Notamacropus eugenii: one gene and its partners. The protein of the gene in region 1 interacts with the protein of each later gene in a pairwise test. Links are inferred from orthologs where the notes say so. Each region holds a gene or a part of one and is shown in the gene's direction. Other genes may lie near its edges. The genes, in order: AP1M1, TGOLN2 and ENTR1.

The links.
Region 2: the proteins of AP1M1 (region 1) and TGOLN2 interact in a two-hybrid assay, tested with the Homo sapiens proteins (2 studies listed by BioGRID). The link is inferred for Notamacropus eugenii from reciprocal best matches to the Homo sapiens genes AP1M1 and TGOLN2.
Region 3: the proteins of AP1M1 (region 1) and ENTR1 interact in binary tests that used the Homo sapiens proteins (3 or more experiments, as listed by UniProt). The two-hybrid records come from large-scale screens. The link is inferred for Notamacropus eugenii from reciprocal best matches to the Homo sapiens genes AP1M1 and ENTR1.

The regions. Positions count from the first base shown.
Region 1 is NC_092875.1:59,290,917-59,295,229, forward strand, and holds the start of AP1M1 (AP-1 complex subunit mu-1), read left to right. Parts: upstream 1-1,342; 5' UTR 1,343-1,381; coding exon 1,382-1,450; intron 1,451-4,313. UniProt on the Homo sapiens protein: Subunit of clathrin-associated adaptor protein complex 1 that plays a role in protein sorting in the trans-Golgi network (TGN) and endosomes.
Region 2 is NC_092872.1:727,222,755-727,227,067, reverse strand, and holds the start of TGOLN2 (trans-Golgi network integral membrane protein 2), read left to right. Parts: upstream 1-1,538; 5' UTR 1,539-1,678; exon of another isoform or gene 1,679-2,324; 5' UTR 2,325-2,378; coding exon 2,379-2,430; intron 2,431-2,736; coding exon 2,737-4,064; intron 4,065-4,313. UniProt on the Homo sapiens protein: May be involved in regulating membrane traffic to and from trans-Golgi network.
Region 3 is NC_092872.1:489,739,032-489,743,344, forward strand, and holds the start of ENTR1 (endosome-associated-trafficking regulator 1), read left to right. Parts: upstream 1-1,278; 5' UTR 1,279-1,441; coding exon 1,442-1,556; intron 1,557-2,677; coding exon 2,678-2,793; intron 2,794-3,132; coding exon 3,133-3,543; intron 3,544-3,966; coding exon 3,967-4,040; intron 4,041-4,313. Other genes in the region: PMPCA (mitochondrial-processing peptidase subunit alpha), read right to left, coding at 143-207. UniProt on the Homo sapiens protein: Endosome-associated protein that plays a role in membrane receptor sorting, cytokinesis and ciliogenesis. Involved in the endosome-to-plasma membrane trafficking and recycling of SNX27-retromer-dependent cargo proteins, such as GLUT1.

The DNA.
Region 1 (4,313 bases):
TAGCTCCCCCATTCTATGCTCCAGGGGCCTTGTTCTAGGGGCCCCTCCCGGCCCAGATGTTCCCTGCCCCAGGGACCCCTCCCGGCCCAGATGTTCCCTGCCTCAGGGGCCCCTCCGGGCCTGACGTTCTCTGTTCTAGGGGCCCCTCCGGGTCTGACGTTCCCTGCCCCAGGGACCCCTCCCGGCCCAGATGTTCCCTGCCCCAGGGGCCCCTCCCGGCCCAGATGTTCCCTGCCCCAGGGGCCCCTCCGGGCCTGACGTTCTCAGTTCAGGGGCCCCTCCTAACTCTGACGTTCCCTGTTCTAGGGGCCCTCCCGGCTCTGACGTTCTAGTTCTAAGCTGCCCTCCGGCGCCACCGTTACGGATATTATGACTATCTGCGGGGCCTGGCAGGCTCCGTCACTCTCCGTCTCCTCCATCTCCTCCCTCTCGAGGTTTCCCCCTCGGCCCCAGGGCTGGGCCGCCGCCTGAGCTCGCTGCCGCCTGAGCTCTGGGAGGACGCATGGCTTCATCGGAGCTCAGTGCGCCTGCGCCTCGGCGGCGCGCGCACGGAGCGGACGCCCATGCCCTCCCTCCCCTGCGCGTGCGCCAGAGGCCAAAGGCCGTTTCCCAAGCCGGACATAACGGTTCCAGGGCGGAAGTGGAAGTGAGGTGCCGCGGGTCGGGTGCGCCCGCCTGCTCGCCCCGGTGCCGCCGCCTCTCTTGCTGCCGCGCCTCGCCCTCCACCTCGCCCCCTCCCCGCCGCTGCCGCCGCCGCCGCCATGTCGGCCAGCGCCGTGTATGTGCTAGACCTAAAGGGCAAGGTAGGGAAACCTGGCCTCGGTCCGCGCCGCTTCCCCCCTCCGCGTTGCCTGGTAACGGCCCCTCCCCAAGGCAGGGGCGGGGACTTCCCCCACCCGCTCGCGGTCCCTGTCACCCTGTCAGTGTTTGACCGCCGCCTTGCCTGTCCTGGTGGCAGCCCCAGCCCCGGGGCAGCCCATGCCATCCACGAGCACTTTACAGTGTGCCAGGCCCTGGGCTAAACTCTGGGGATACCGAAGATGGGCAAGAGGCAGTGCCAGCTCTGCCGTGGGACCCCAGACGTCGAGCTGGAAGGGGCGTCACGGTTCAGACGCGGAGCATCCGATGGCATTTGAACCCAGGGCCTCCCACGACCCAGCCGGCGCCCTTCTCGCCCCAGCGCGCTCCTCTGGAGGAGGGCGCCGGGCAGGGCTAGGAGAGAGAGAAAATGCCCTGGTGGTAATGGTGCCAAGGTCCACGTTCAGTGCCTTAGAGACGCACAGAGCGAAGGCGCCTGACTGGGCCCTCAGGCCATAGGGATGAGAGGGCAGAAGCCACGGTGCCGCCGCAGGGCGAGGGGCCCTGTCCGACCGGAGCTCCGATGGTGGAGGGGGGAAGAACGCGTGAAAAAGTAGGGTGGTGCCGGGCTGTGGAGGCCCTGGGCTGTGTGGTGAGTGCCGTCCCCCCCGGTGCTGACCTGGCGTCCCAGGCCGCCGATCTTCCAGCCGTCTCCGTCTTAGTGGGTTCCGCCGCGCTTCGGGCCAGCTCTCGTCGTTAGGGTCCAGACTGAAATGGCTTCTTTGCAGCTTCCACGTTGTCCTTAGGTCTCTTTCCTGGGTCTAAACAGAACAAGTATTTCTTCCCAAGTAACTGCCATTCAGATAGTAGAAGACAACCGTCCTATCCCTCCTAAAGCTCTTCTCCAGGCTAAAGAGCCCTTGTTCCTCCAACCAGTCATCCCCTGATGTGCATTCAAGGTCCTTCACAGTTCTTTTTCCCCCTCCCTGGGGCATTTTCCAGCTTGTTAATGCCCTTCTTAAAACATGGCGTGCAAAATCAAACAGTACTCCAAATATGGTCTGACCAAAACAGAGTAAACTCAGCAGAGAATATCTATCTGCTCCCCCTTTCTGAATACCCGTGCTTCTTAGTTTAACATCATTCGGCTGTCCTGTCACCCTGTTGACTCATATATTCAGCTTGCAGCCCACTAAAACCACAAGATCTTTTTCATATGAACTGTTGCTTAGCCGTGCCTCTTCCAGCTTGAGTAGCTGACCTTTTTAAACCCAAGTGGAAGACTTTGCATTAATCTGTTAAATTTCATCTTATTAAATTTAGCCCAGTGTCTTAGACTGTCAAGTATTTTTTTGGATTCCTAGCTCTGCCATTTAACCTATTGGCTGTCTCTCCTAGCTTTGTGCTTTGTGCTTATTTCATAAGTGTGCCATGTGCACCGTTTTCCAGATTATTGATGAAAATGTCCAATATTACAAAGCCAAGCACAGATTCAATGGACACTGCAGTAGAGAGTCTTTTACTGTGCTTTGGGTATGGCCATTCAGCCAGTTCCAAATCCTTCTAATTGTGTTACTGCCAAGCCCATACTTCTCCATCTTGCCTTCAAAAATAGCATGAGAGTCTTCATCAAATGCAGAGAAGTAAACTGTATCTATCACAGTCCCCTGATCTACCCTATCAAAAGAGGAAATGAAGTTAGTCTAGCATGACCTGTTTCTGGTGAAAGTGTGACACTTTGTGATTACTACTTTCTTTTCTAAATGTTCACCACCTGAAGATAGACCCCTTTCAGTGACACATTCTAGAATTTTCTAGGAGTCAAAGTCAAGCTTATTGGACAATGAGTTTCATATTCTACTCTTTTCCCTTTTATGAAAATAAGAGACATTTGCCTTTCTCTAGCCCCAACACCCCTCTTCTTCTGCCTGATCCTTTAAAGATGACTGATAGTGGCTCAGAAATAGCATTCAAAAGTTCTTTCATTAGCCTGGAATGTAATTTACCTGGGCCTGGTCACTTGAACTCATCAAGGGCAGCTAACCACTCTTTCAGTGTCTCTCCATTTGTTCTGTCCTTTCCAGTCCAAAGACCATTCTCCTTAACACAGAAACAGAAGTAAGGTCCTAGTTGAATAATTGTCTTCTCTCCATTCATTATCATTGTCCCATCTACATTGAATACTTCTTAACTCTTTTCTCCAGTATAGCTTTTAAAAATCTTTTTTTGTTGTCCTTAGCTTTCCTTGACAGTCTTAGTTCATTCTGACTTTTAGTGTTCTAGTACCTTTCTTACAGTACTTCAATTTGGCTTAAATAAATTATTTGACATCTTTTTTGATGCTGCATATAATTCCCAGTAAATACCCAACCACATCCCTCCACAAAGTACATTCCCTGGAGAAGAAAAGTAAGTTTATTGATTATTAACAGAAATGTAAGGTGTGTCCTTTAACTTGGGCAGTATTACATTGACCGTTGTTTTTTACCAGAATTTTACTGCTTCTCCAGTGTTAATTGTATTTACTCTCATTGCATATGTTGTTCTTTTGTCTCTGCTTCCTTCACTCTGTATCACTTCATATGAGTCTTATAATTCTCTGAATTCTCTACATTTGACACTCTTTATGGCCTAATAATTTTCCATTATATGCATGTAGAATTATTTGTTCAGCTAGCCAATCATTGGACACATAGTTTGTTATTATAAATAAAACTTTTTTTGTTATTTTTAAATACTGTTAATGAACAGTTTTGGGAGAGTTCTTATCAATTGCCTTTTATTAATAATAGCTGACATTCTTATAGCCCTTTTAAGTGTTACTATACGCCTTATGTAGATTTGTATCGAATTAAAAAGAAATCTCCTCTGCAGAACAGTAGAAGATCCTGTAATCAATCAACAAACATTTATAAAGTATTAACTATGTTCCAGGTACTGGAAATATAAAGACAAAAATGAAAGCCTCTTCCCTCAAGAAACTTACATCCTTTCAGCATATAGTAGTCATTTTGAAATGTTTAATAAAATTGAATGAGTAGATTCAACAGGTATTGTCAGACTTCCTCTCAGGTACTCACTGCTGGCCATCAGTTGTGATGAAAGGGTCTTTCTAATCTAGGTCAGTGAACTCATTAATTCTATCATTTAGGAAAAAACTCTTAGACCTAAGTTAAAAAATAGCTCCCCTCCCCTTCCTTGCTTGTCAGCAAATCCTCACAATCACACCACCATACTTGTCCGTTTAAGTTGTTCATTTTCCAAATGAAGGAGCAGAAGTCCAGAGGGAGGAAGGAGCTCAGAACACCACAGAAGAAGAAGGAGCGACAGAGGCATGACCAGAATCTAGGACTCTAGATACCTAGCTCTTGGGGTCACCTAATAAGTCTGAGGCCTCTTCCATATGAAAATCTTTAGATATTTTGAGGACAGTGATTATGGTCCCACCAAGGTATCTAATGTAGATACTCTTACTTCTTTTACCTAATGGTTTCAGAGAATGGGCTCGATTAGAT
Region 2 (4,313 bases), on another chromosome or scaffold:
AGGATAATCCAGAACCATACTGTGAAGAGCTATAAATGTTAAGCTGAAGTTATTTTATTCTAAAGAAATTTAATGGAATTTAGTCAACTAATTAAATTAAATTTAAAATTGTCAGCTCCTTGAGATGAGGGATTGATCTTTGCTTTTTTGTATCCCCAGTGCTTAGTATAATGCCTGGAGCATACTAGGCACTTCATAAGTGTTTACCGACTGACTGACTAAAGCCAACAAGGAGTCATTGGACTTTCTTGTGCTGGGGGAAGCAGGGTGAACAGGTTAGAGCTCTCCCCAGTCCTTGTGGTAGTTTTGATAACTATTGATAACTTTTTGATAACTATTCTTGCTAAGGAGGTGCTAAGCTCTGTTGTCTTCTTGGCACAGATGGCATCGAAGTACCAAATATGGTGCCCTGAGGCAAAGCCTTTGTAAATCTGGCCTAATTTCAACTCTAGCTGTTAGACACGAACTTGACACACAAAAAAGGTATCAAGAAAGATTTATTTAAAATGGAGTTCAGAGTAGGGAAGGCCTACATTCCTTCCCTGAAGAAATGGGTAGCTTCCAGCATGACCATGAAAGAACTACAACCAGGTCAGGATGAGACAGGACCCTTATAGAATTCTGAATTTTGGATTTCCCTCGATACTGTCCCCTGGCCATGTGACTTCAGGTTCTCCTCTCTGATAGGCCCTTCCTCACACAGCTCCTTGGGCTTGCACATTAGTTTCTGACCTCTAACCTGTCCATGCTAGGTCACAACCCCTATCACCTAGGAATGTGGACAACAGAACTTTCTTACTTCCCACATGGTGAACACTCTGATTCTCACCCTTCTAGGAACAGGTCTTCTTGGTAGCTGAGTGTACTTGCAAATCAGATATTGGCTTCCTATCCTCGTCTTGGATCCAGATGGCTTAAGCCACCAAGGAGGAACTGACAAGGGCTAGAAAGGGGAATAGGATGGATGAAGTTCTGAAATCCCCCTAAGACTCCTCCGAGTACAGGGGCAGGTCACCTAGAATGAATTCCCATACTCAAGCATTCTTGAGGTCAAGATAAAGATTTATTATGCTTTTCAGTGGGCAAGAGTTCTTAGGGAATCTGTGGTTTGAATGTGGTTAGTTTATATAGGATATTGTATAGTAAAACATGTGCCAAATATGCTAACTAGGTTATTCACTGTGGGATTCAGGAGTTTTTAGTGGTTAGTAGTTACGAACATGCACTTTTGGTATCTAGTATGCAGGTATTTTTACCCAGAGTTCATCTGAAAAAAGCCCAAGCAGGGGGCTACATGGAGGTGGTGTTTTATTCCTGAAAGATCACTAAGAAAACTAACAGTCAGGACTAACTAAGGAATACCAGCCTACTCTCATCAGTGTCTTGTTAGACAAGATAAATGTATGGGAATATATGTATGTCTAAGTCTAGGATACATATAATTGGTCAGTGAGTAGTAAATGTCATTATGACCCAGTACACAGCTGGTTCAAACTAATAAGTTATATAGGTGCAGCTGGCTGTTGTATCAGGAAGAGAGAGTCTGCACCAGGGTTGAAGCAAAGTTAGAGAAGAGTGTTGGAGAGAGGCTGAGGAGGTGAAATGTGGGAGAAAGGATGCAGAAGTGAAATTGATGAGAGAGGATGGAGAAGTGAAGTCTAGGAGAGAGGCTACAGAGGTGAAATTGATGAGAGAGGATGCAGAAGTGAAATTGACTAGAGAGGATGCAGAGGTGAAATAAATGAGAGAGAGGATGCAGAGGTGAAATTGATGAGAGGCTTTGGAGGTGAAATCGACAGGCCTTGGCCACAACTTGGCTATGGGGCGTGAGAGAGGGAAGTGTGCAGGAGGTCTCCTGAGGTGGGGCCTGAGGCTGGGAGATTGGGAGTGCCTTCCACAGTGAAGGGAAAGGGAAAAAGGATGAGGGTTTAGGGAGGGGAAATAATGAGTTCCGGTTTGGACAGAGTGGGCATAAGCTATCTACTGGACATCCAGTTCAGAGGCGCAGAGCAGGAAGCCCCCTCTATCAAAGCAGGTTGGTACCTCCCTGCCACGTAGAGCCCTAGAGAGTGGTCCAGAGATCACTGGTTGGGGAAGTGACTTTAGCCACTACTGATGAGAGACGGAATTCAAAGCCCGCCGTCCAGGACTGGCTTAAACTAGCTAGCCCCTAGAAAGGGCTTACTGAATCTAAAATGTGTCATGGGGCGTGGTACGGGGAGGCCACACCCCTAGTTACGCCCTTGGGAGGCGGGGCAGGAGAGTTCGCGCGCTCAGGACGCAAGGCGGGAGCGCCCAGGCGTGACGTCAAGATCCTGCCTCAGGGCCGCTGATCTCGCGAGAGTGTGCGTGGGCGGAAGCGCAGTGGCTGCCGCAGGATGCGGTTCCTGCTCTGGTTCGCGGTCCTGTGGACTATTTCTATCGCGACCGGTAAGTACCCCACCGCACCCTACCCGAATCCTGGCCCAGCCCGGCGCTGCTCCCGCTCGGCCCCTAGGGCCCGGCCCCGAGCGGAACTGCGGCCTCCTCAACCGCCTCTTCCCGCTCCAGGCCCTGGGCCTGGCTTGAGGCCGGACCGCGCCCTCCGGGCTCCTCCCTCCCTCCGTCCTGGCCTTCCGCCCAGGCTCGGCCCTCCCCGCTGACCTTACTGCCCCGTTCCCAGGCAGCCTGCCCCCCCCCCCCCACACACACACACACACCTGTCATGACTCCCACCTCTCGTTTTTCCCTCTTCAGGAGCTGGCGACAGCGTCAAAGAGGATGCAAGGGATGGAGGAGGAGGGTCCAGCATCCTCAGGGACCCCAAGAATGAGGGGAGCACACAGAACGCCGCTGACCATAATGATCAGGCCCCTGACGCTGCCATGCAGGGGTCTTCCAACCCCTCACTTGGCACTGGAGATAAGTCTGAGAATGCCAAAGAAGATAAGTCGGTCATCCCAGAAAAGGACAAGCAGACCAGCCCAGAAGGGGCTGAGAAGGTCAACGAAGGAGAAGCCAGTCAGGGGACTGACACAGGAGAGGACAAGCTGCCCAAGCAGTCACAGGCCAAACAGTCCACCCAAGGAAAAGCCAGGCAGGAGACTGACACAGGAGAGGACAAGCTGACTGACCCGTCACAGGCCAAACAGTCCACCCAAGGAAAAGCTAGGCAGGAGACTGACACAGGAGAGGACAAGCTGACTGACCAGTCACAGGCCAAACAGTCCACTCAAGGAAAAGCCAGGCAGGAGACTGACACAGAAGAGGACAAGCTGACTGACCAGTCACAGGCCAAACAGTCCACTCAAGGAAAAGCCAGGCAGGAGACTGACACAGAAGAGGACAAGCTGACTGACCAGTCACAGGCCAAACAGTCCACTCAAGGAAAAGCCAGGCAGGAGACTGACACAGAAGAGGACAAGCTGACTGACCAGTCACAGGCCAAACAGTCCACTCAAGGAAAAGCCAGGCAGGAGACTGACACAGGAGAGGACAAGCTGACTGACCAGTCACAGGCCAAACAGTCCACTCAAGGAAAAGCCAGGCAGGAGACTGACACAGGAGAGGACAAGCTGACTGACCAGTCACAGGCCAAACAGTCCACCCAAGGAAAAGCCAGGCAGGAGACTGACACAGGAGAGGACAAGCTGACTGACCAGTCACAGGCCAAACAGTCCACCCAAGGAAAAGCCAGTCAGGAAACTGACACAGGAGAGGACAAGCTGACCAACCTGCCACAGGCAAAACAGCCCACCCAAGGAGAAGCCAATAAGGGGACTGACACAGGAAAGGGCAAATATGAAGCTAGCACAGGAGAGAACAAACATGAGACAGACATAGAAGAAGATAAGCATGAATTAAACCCTGATTCTGATAAAGAGTTTCTTGAATTTAGTCCTAGTGAAACTTTTAAAGAAGAGTCATCGAAAACAGACACCATTGTGAATCCTCCAGCAGGTGGTATTGAACATGGCAACTCTTATATGAAGGAAAATTCAGAGAGCAGCCACTTTTTTGCATATTTGGTCACAGCGGCCATCCTGGTAGCTGTCCTGTACATCGCCTATCACAACAAGCGGAAGGTAAGTTCAAAGTTTCATTAGGAAGGAGATTTTGTATTATGTAGGTGCCTGTCAGCAACTTGAGATTTTAGGTCCACATTGCGGCCTCTGAATCTTCTTTTGATCTGACTTGTAGATATCCAGATGGACCTCTCTCTATTGAGCCAGTGTCAAATCTTATTATGAACCTTTAAAATTTCTGTTGCTTCCATTCTAAAATAAGAAAGATTAAGCAACCAGCTTGCAAAAATGGAATTTTTTAAAAAATCT
Region 3 (4,313 bases), on another chromosome or scaffold:
GGCCGGGCCCCTCGGAGCCTCCGTCAGGGTTCCCCCCCGCGGGGCGTGGGGCAGGGCCGGGCAGTCCTGGCCTTTCCCCGCACTTGGCCCCGGTCCCTCCATCTCTGCCCGTCAGGCAGTCCTCGACTCTTCCCCCTCTCACCTCATGCGAGAGCGATCCCAGATGCCCCGTCCACGCAGCACGGTAGCTCCCGCCGCCGCCGCCATCTTGCGCCTCCGCCCAGCGCTTCTGCGGTCACTTCCGCTTCCCCGCCCCCTCCCGGCCACGCCCCCGCGGTCTGGCAGCCAGTCTCCGCCCGCGCGGCGAGAGATCGCGCTTCCGGCGCCCGGTGGGCGAAGCGGAAGGAGGCGGGAGGAGACCGGAAGGCCCGAGACGAGCTGAACCGGGCGGAGCCAGGTCAAGCTGAGCTGAGCTGAGCTTAGACGAGCCACCCTGAGCCTATGGAGACCAGGTAGTGGAGCTCTGGCCCCGTCCACGGGCAGAATCGAGGCCGTGCGGGGATGTCTGGCTACACCCGCCGCACGGGGCTCACCCCGCTGTCTCGAGCCCGGAGCCTCATCATCCAGGACGGTGAGACCTAGCGACCGAGACTGGCAGAGCGTCCCTCCGTCCCTCCCCTCCGCACCGGTGTAGCGGCCCTGCCTTAGGCGCTAGGCATCTAGAGATCTTCTAGGCAGTCCGCTCCGAGTACAGAAGTGGAAGTTGAGGTCCGAGACTGGCCCAGGTGGGGGTCGCTCCTGCAGGGAGGCTTCCTTAGATTTCCTCGGCCTCCGGGGAGCCTTCCAGGCCCGACTAACTAGCCTCTGATTATCCATAGGAGAATCTCACCCCGGCGTAAGGGAGGACGGGGAGGGGGGAGTCACTTAAGGTTGCAAACTAGTTTAAAGATACCGTGTTCTCGACTGCCCGTTTTGTAGAGAAGGAACAGGACCTTTCCGAAAGACGTTTCTCTGAACCACTCTGATTTCCCTTTGTCTCTTAATTTTGTATCTGAGTCTTGAATCACAGACTCACCCAGCCTGGAAGGGACTTTAAAGTCCCAACCATTGTCCATATGGGGAAATGAGGCCCAGAAGAGGCAGAGGTCTTGCCCATGTTACTATTAGTTGGAGACACCACCTTCTCCAGGGAGCCCCTCCTCTGAAGCTGTTGTATAGAGCCTTACCCCGTTAGAATTCCAAGAGCTGTGTAATGGACTGTATTCAGCCAGTACCCTCTAATTGTCCATACTGGGCCATAGAATCACCCATTAAAGAAAGGAATATAGAAAAATCTAAATTCTAGACCCAACCCCTCTCAGTGATAGGATGGGAAAAGACAGGAGCACATAAGGACTTGGTGACAGAGCTGTGATTTAAACTCATAGTTTCCCGTTCCAGGCTTGTTATCTTTTTATCCCACCACACTTGTGCATTGGGATCTTTCAAATGGGAGTACTCAATGTTCGAATTGAATTGTGTCTTATATTCTAGTCATTTGAGTTCCTTTTGTGTACCCTATGCTACATGGAACTTAAGAAGGGATGGAGCACTTAAACTGCCCATTTGGATATCCGGTATTGCTTTATGACATCTTTTTAAATTATTAATCTTTTATGTGTATAGATTGTAAGTACTTTCGGGATTGAAGCTATGACTTGTCACTCAAATATTTACCTTAGGCTGCTCTGGGAGAGGTGCTGTCTCTGTTGTCAAGGAACTTAAAATCTAAAAGTATTTATTGCCTGTATTATTTACATTGCCCTAATCCTAAAGTACTTGGTGACATGTTTCATTCTTTACCTTTTTACTTGGACTTGTCTTATTCCCCTAACTAAACTCTTGAGACTGTGTCATTTTCTGTTTTATTCTCTTCAGCACCTAGTACTGCATTATGTACATAGTAGATACTCAGTAAAAAGCAAAGAAGAAAAATTAATGAGATTCAGAACATCTCTGAAACTCAGACAAAAACATATATGAATGGGATTCATGTCAAGGAAAGATTGCTATGAGGTGGTGAGGTCTGGGAAGGAGATTAGAGTTGGGCCTTGAAATATGGATAGGATTTGGATAGGCCCAGGTAAGGAGGAGAAGAAAAACACATGGGCAAAAAGTGTGGAGGTGAGAAAACACAAAGCAGGTGGGGATGATGAATAAATGAGTCTTCAACAGTGTTTGGGGGCAGAAGCATCCAAGAGTTGAAGGTTAGATCTTGTATTTGGGGTAGGAGGGAGCTGAGGGATGAGGAAAGCAAGAAAACTGGAGACTTGTAGCAACTGATAGAAATGCATAAAATGCTGAAAATCAGGATAATGCGGTTAACTACATGTATGGGAGACTGAAAGAAGTAGAAAACTAAAGCCAGTCACAGAATAGATATGGAAACTTGAGACAATTGCCAGGTAAAGTCTTCTGAGGTAAAGGAAAAAAGAATGAAAGAGTTTAGAATGGAGTTACTTGTAGAGGTATCTTGTTGCTGGTAACTTAAGTTTCTTGTGTCTTAATTGTACCTCAGTTCACTTCAGTTTAGCACTTACCTTGTTAAAATCAATTATCCTGAGTCACTATGGGGCTTAGTGTTCCTAAATCTGGATTAGATGATATTGCTTCTAAAAAAAAAACTAAAAGGAAGATTCCTGTCTAGTAAATCTGAATCACTTTAAAGCATTTATGAAATATGCTTTTCTTATTTTAGATGACAGTGCTGAAGATCTGGATGAAGCAAATCCATTTTCCTTTAAAGAATTTCTGAAAACCAAGAACCTTGGCCTGTCCAAAGAAGAGACAACCAATGCTAGAATTTACACTAAGGTAACTTAAAGGAATTTCCATTTAAGTTCAATAAGGGGAGAAAAAAATCTCAATGAATTTTCACTACTGGTTTACATTTTCTCATAGGATATTGTTAATCATGGAAGTGTTTGGTATCAATGATAGTTAAGTTTTACAATAATGTCACATGTAGATGATTTATCCTTCCAGTGTTCCATCTCTCTTCTCAACTTAACTCTTATAAATGAAGTATTTTGTTGTAATGCTGAAAAAATACATTGAATATAAGACTGTAAAAAATTACTAATTACTAATATTTATTAACCTAGACTAATAAAGAAACTCTTCAATGTAACTTTTGACTTTCTTCTTTGTTAGGAATCTACAAGACATACATTAGGACTTGAAGATAATTCTCCACCTTCTAAATCTGTAGGATATGGTTTAGACTATGAGGAACCTTTTTTCCAAGACCCAACTGGTGCTGGAGATTTGCTGGATGAAGATGAAGATGATGACTGGAGTGGGACTTACCGGCCAGCTACCATGGAACAAACTCATGCTTCCAGAGTTGCTACTAGCACATCACCACATAATCCATATATTTCCTTTTTTACCAACACACCCGAACTGTCAGGCATCGAGTCTCTTGCTCCATGGACCTTAAATGATAGTGACTCAGGTGTTTCTCCTACATCTCAAGGGAACAACACAAACAAAGAATTTGTTGCTCATGGAGAATACTTGGGAGATAGGCATTTTCGGTCGCTGCAGATAAGCTATGAAGCAGTAAGTGTGGATGGAATGCTCTTCACCTACCTGATAAACCTCAAAAGTCTTGGGAAGTCTCTCGTGGAGAAAAGCTAGTGATCTTGCTTTCCTAATGGCCTCTATGGCTTTGGAGCAAAGGACACAATCAGCCCTAATGTGCTACTACAGCTTGTTGCTGTTTACCATGGTTAGTTATTTTGGCGTTGCTCACAGATATGAATGCAGCTGCTTTAAACAGTATTGTGTAATGAATGCAAGTACAGGAGATGTGAGTACAATAGAATACTTGTGTCAAGCTGGATAAAACATCTTAGAAACCTAAACATCTTTATCCACTGTCCTAGATTTCTTTATAAATAAGAAATTTTGTGACTAATTGTATGCAGGCTGTTGACCAGTTTAGAATCTTGAATTTCTCATTTTAATTTTCTTTTTCTGCAGCTTAAAGAAGAAAACTCTAAGCTAAGAAGAAAAATTAATGAGATTCAGAACTTCTCTGAATCTCAGACAGAAATGTATGTACACTTATATCTAGAAATTTGAGTTTCATTTCTCTTTCCAAAGGATTGATTTATGTAAATAGAGGGTAACAGCTTTGTGACATTTGATAAATCTCCTTTCTGTTTAAAAATTCCTGTGAAATTCTTCATCTAGTTTTTTATTGAGTTATATAAGAGAGCTACTTTGTGAGATGTAGTATGACAGAGAGGATAAAGGGCTATCTTTGGAGTTGAGAGCACAAGATCTGTAATCCCACCTCTGCTACTACCTGGGTCACCTTGCAGAGC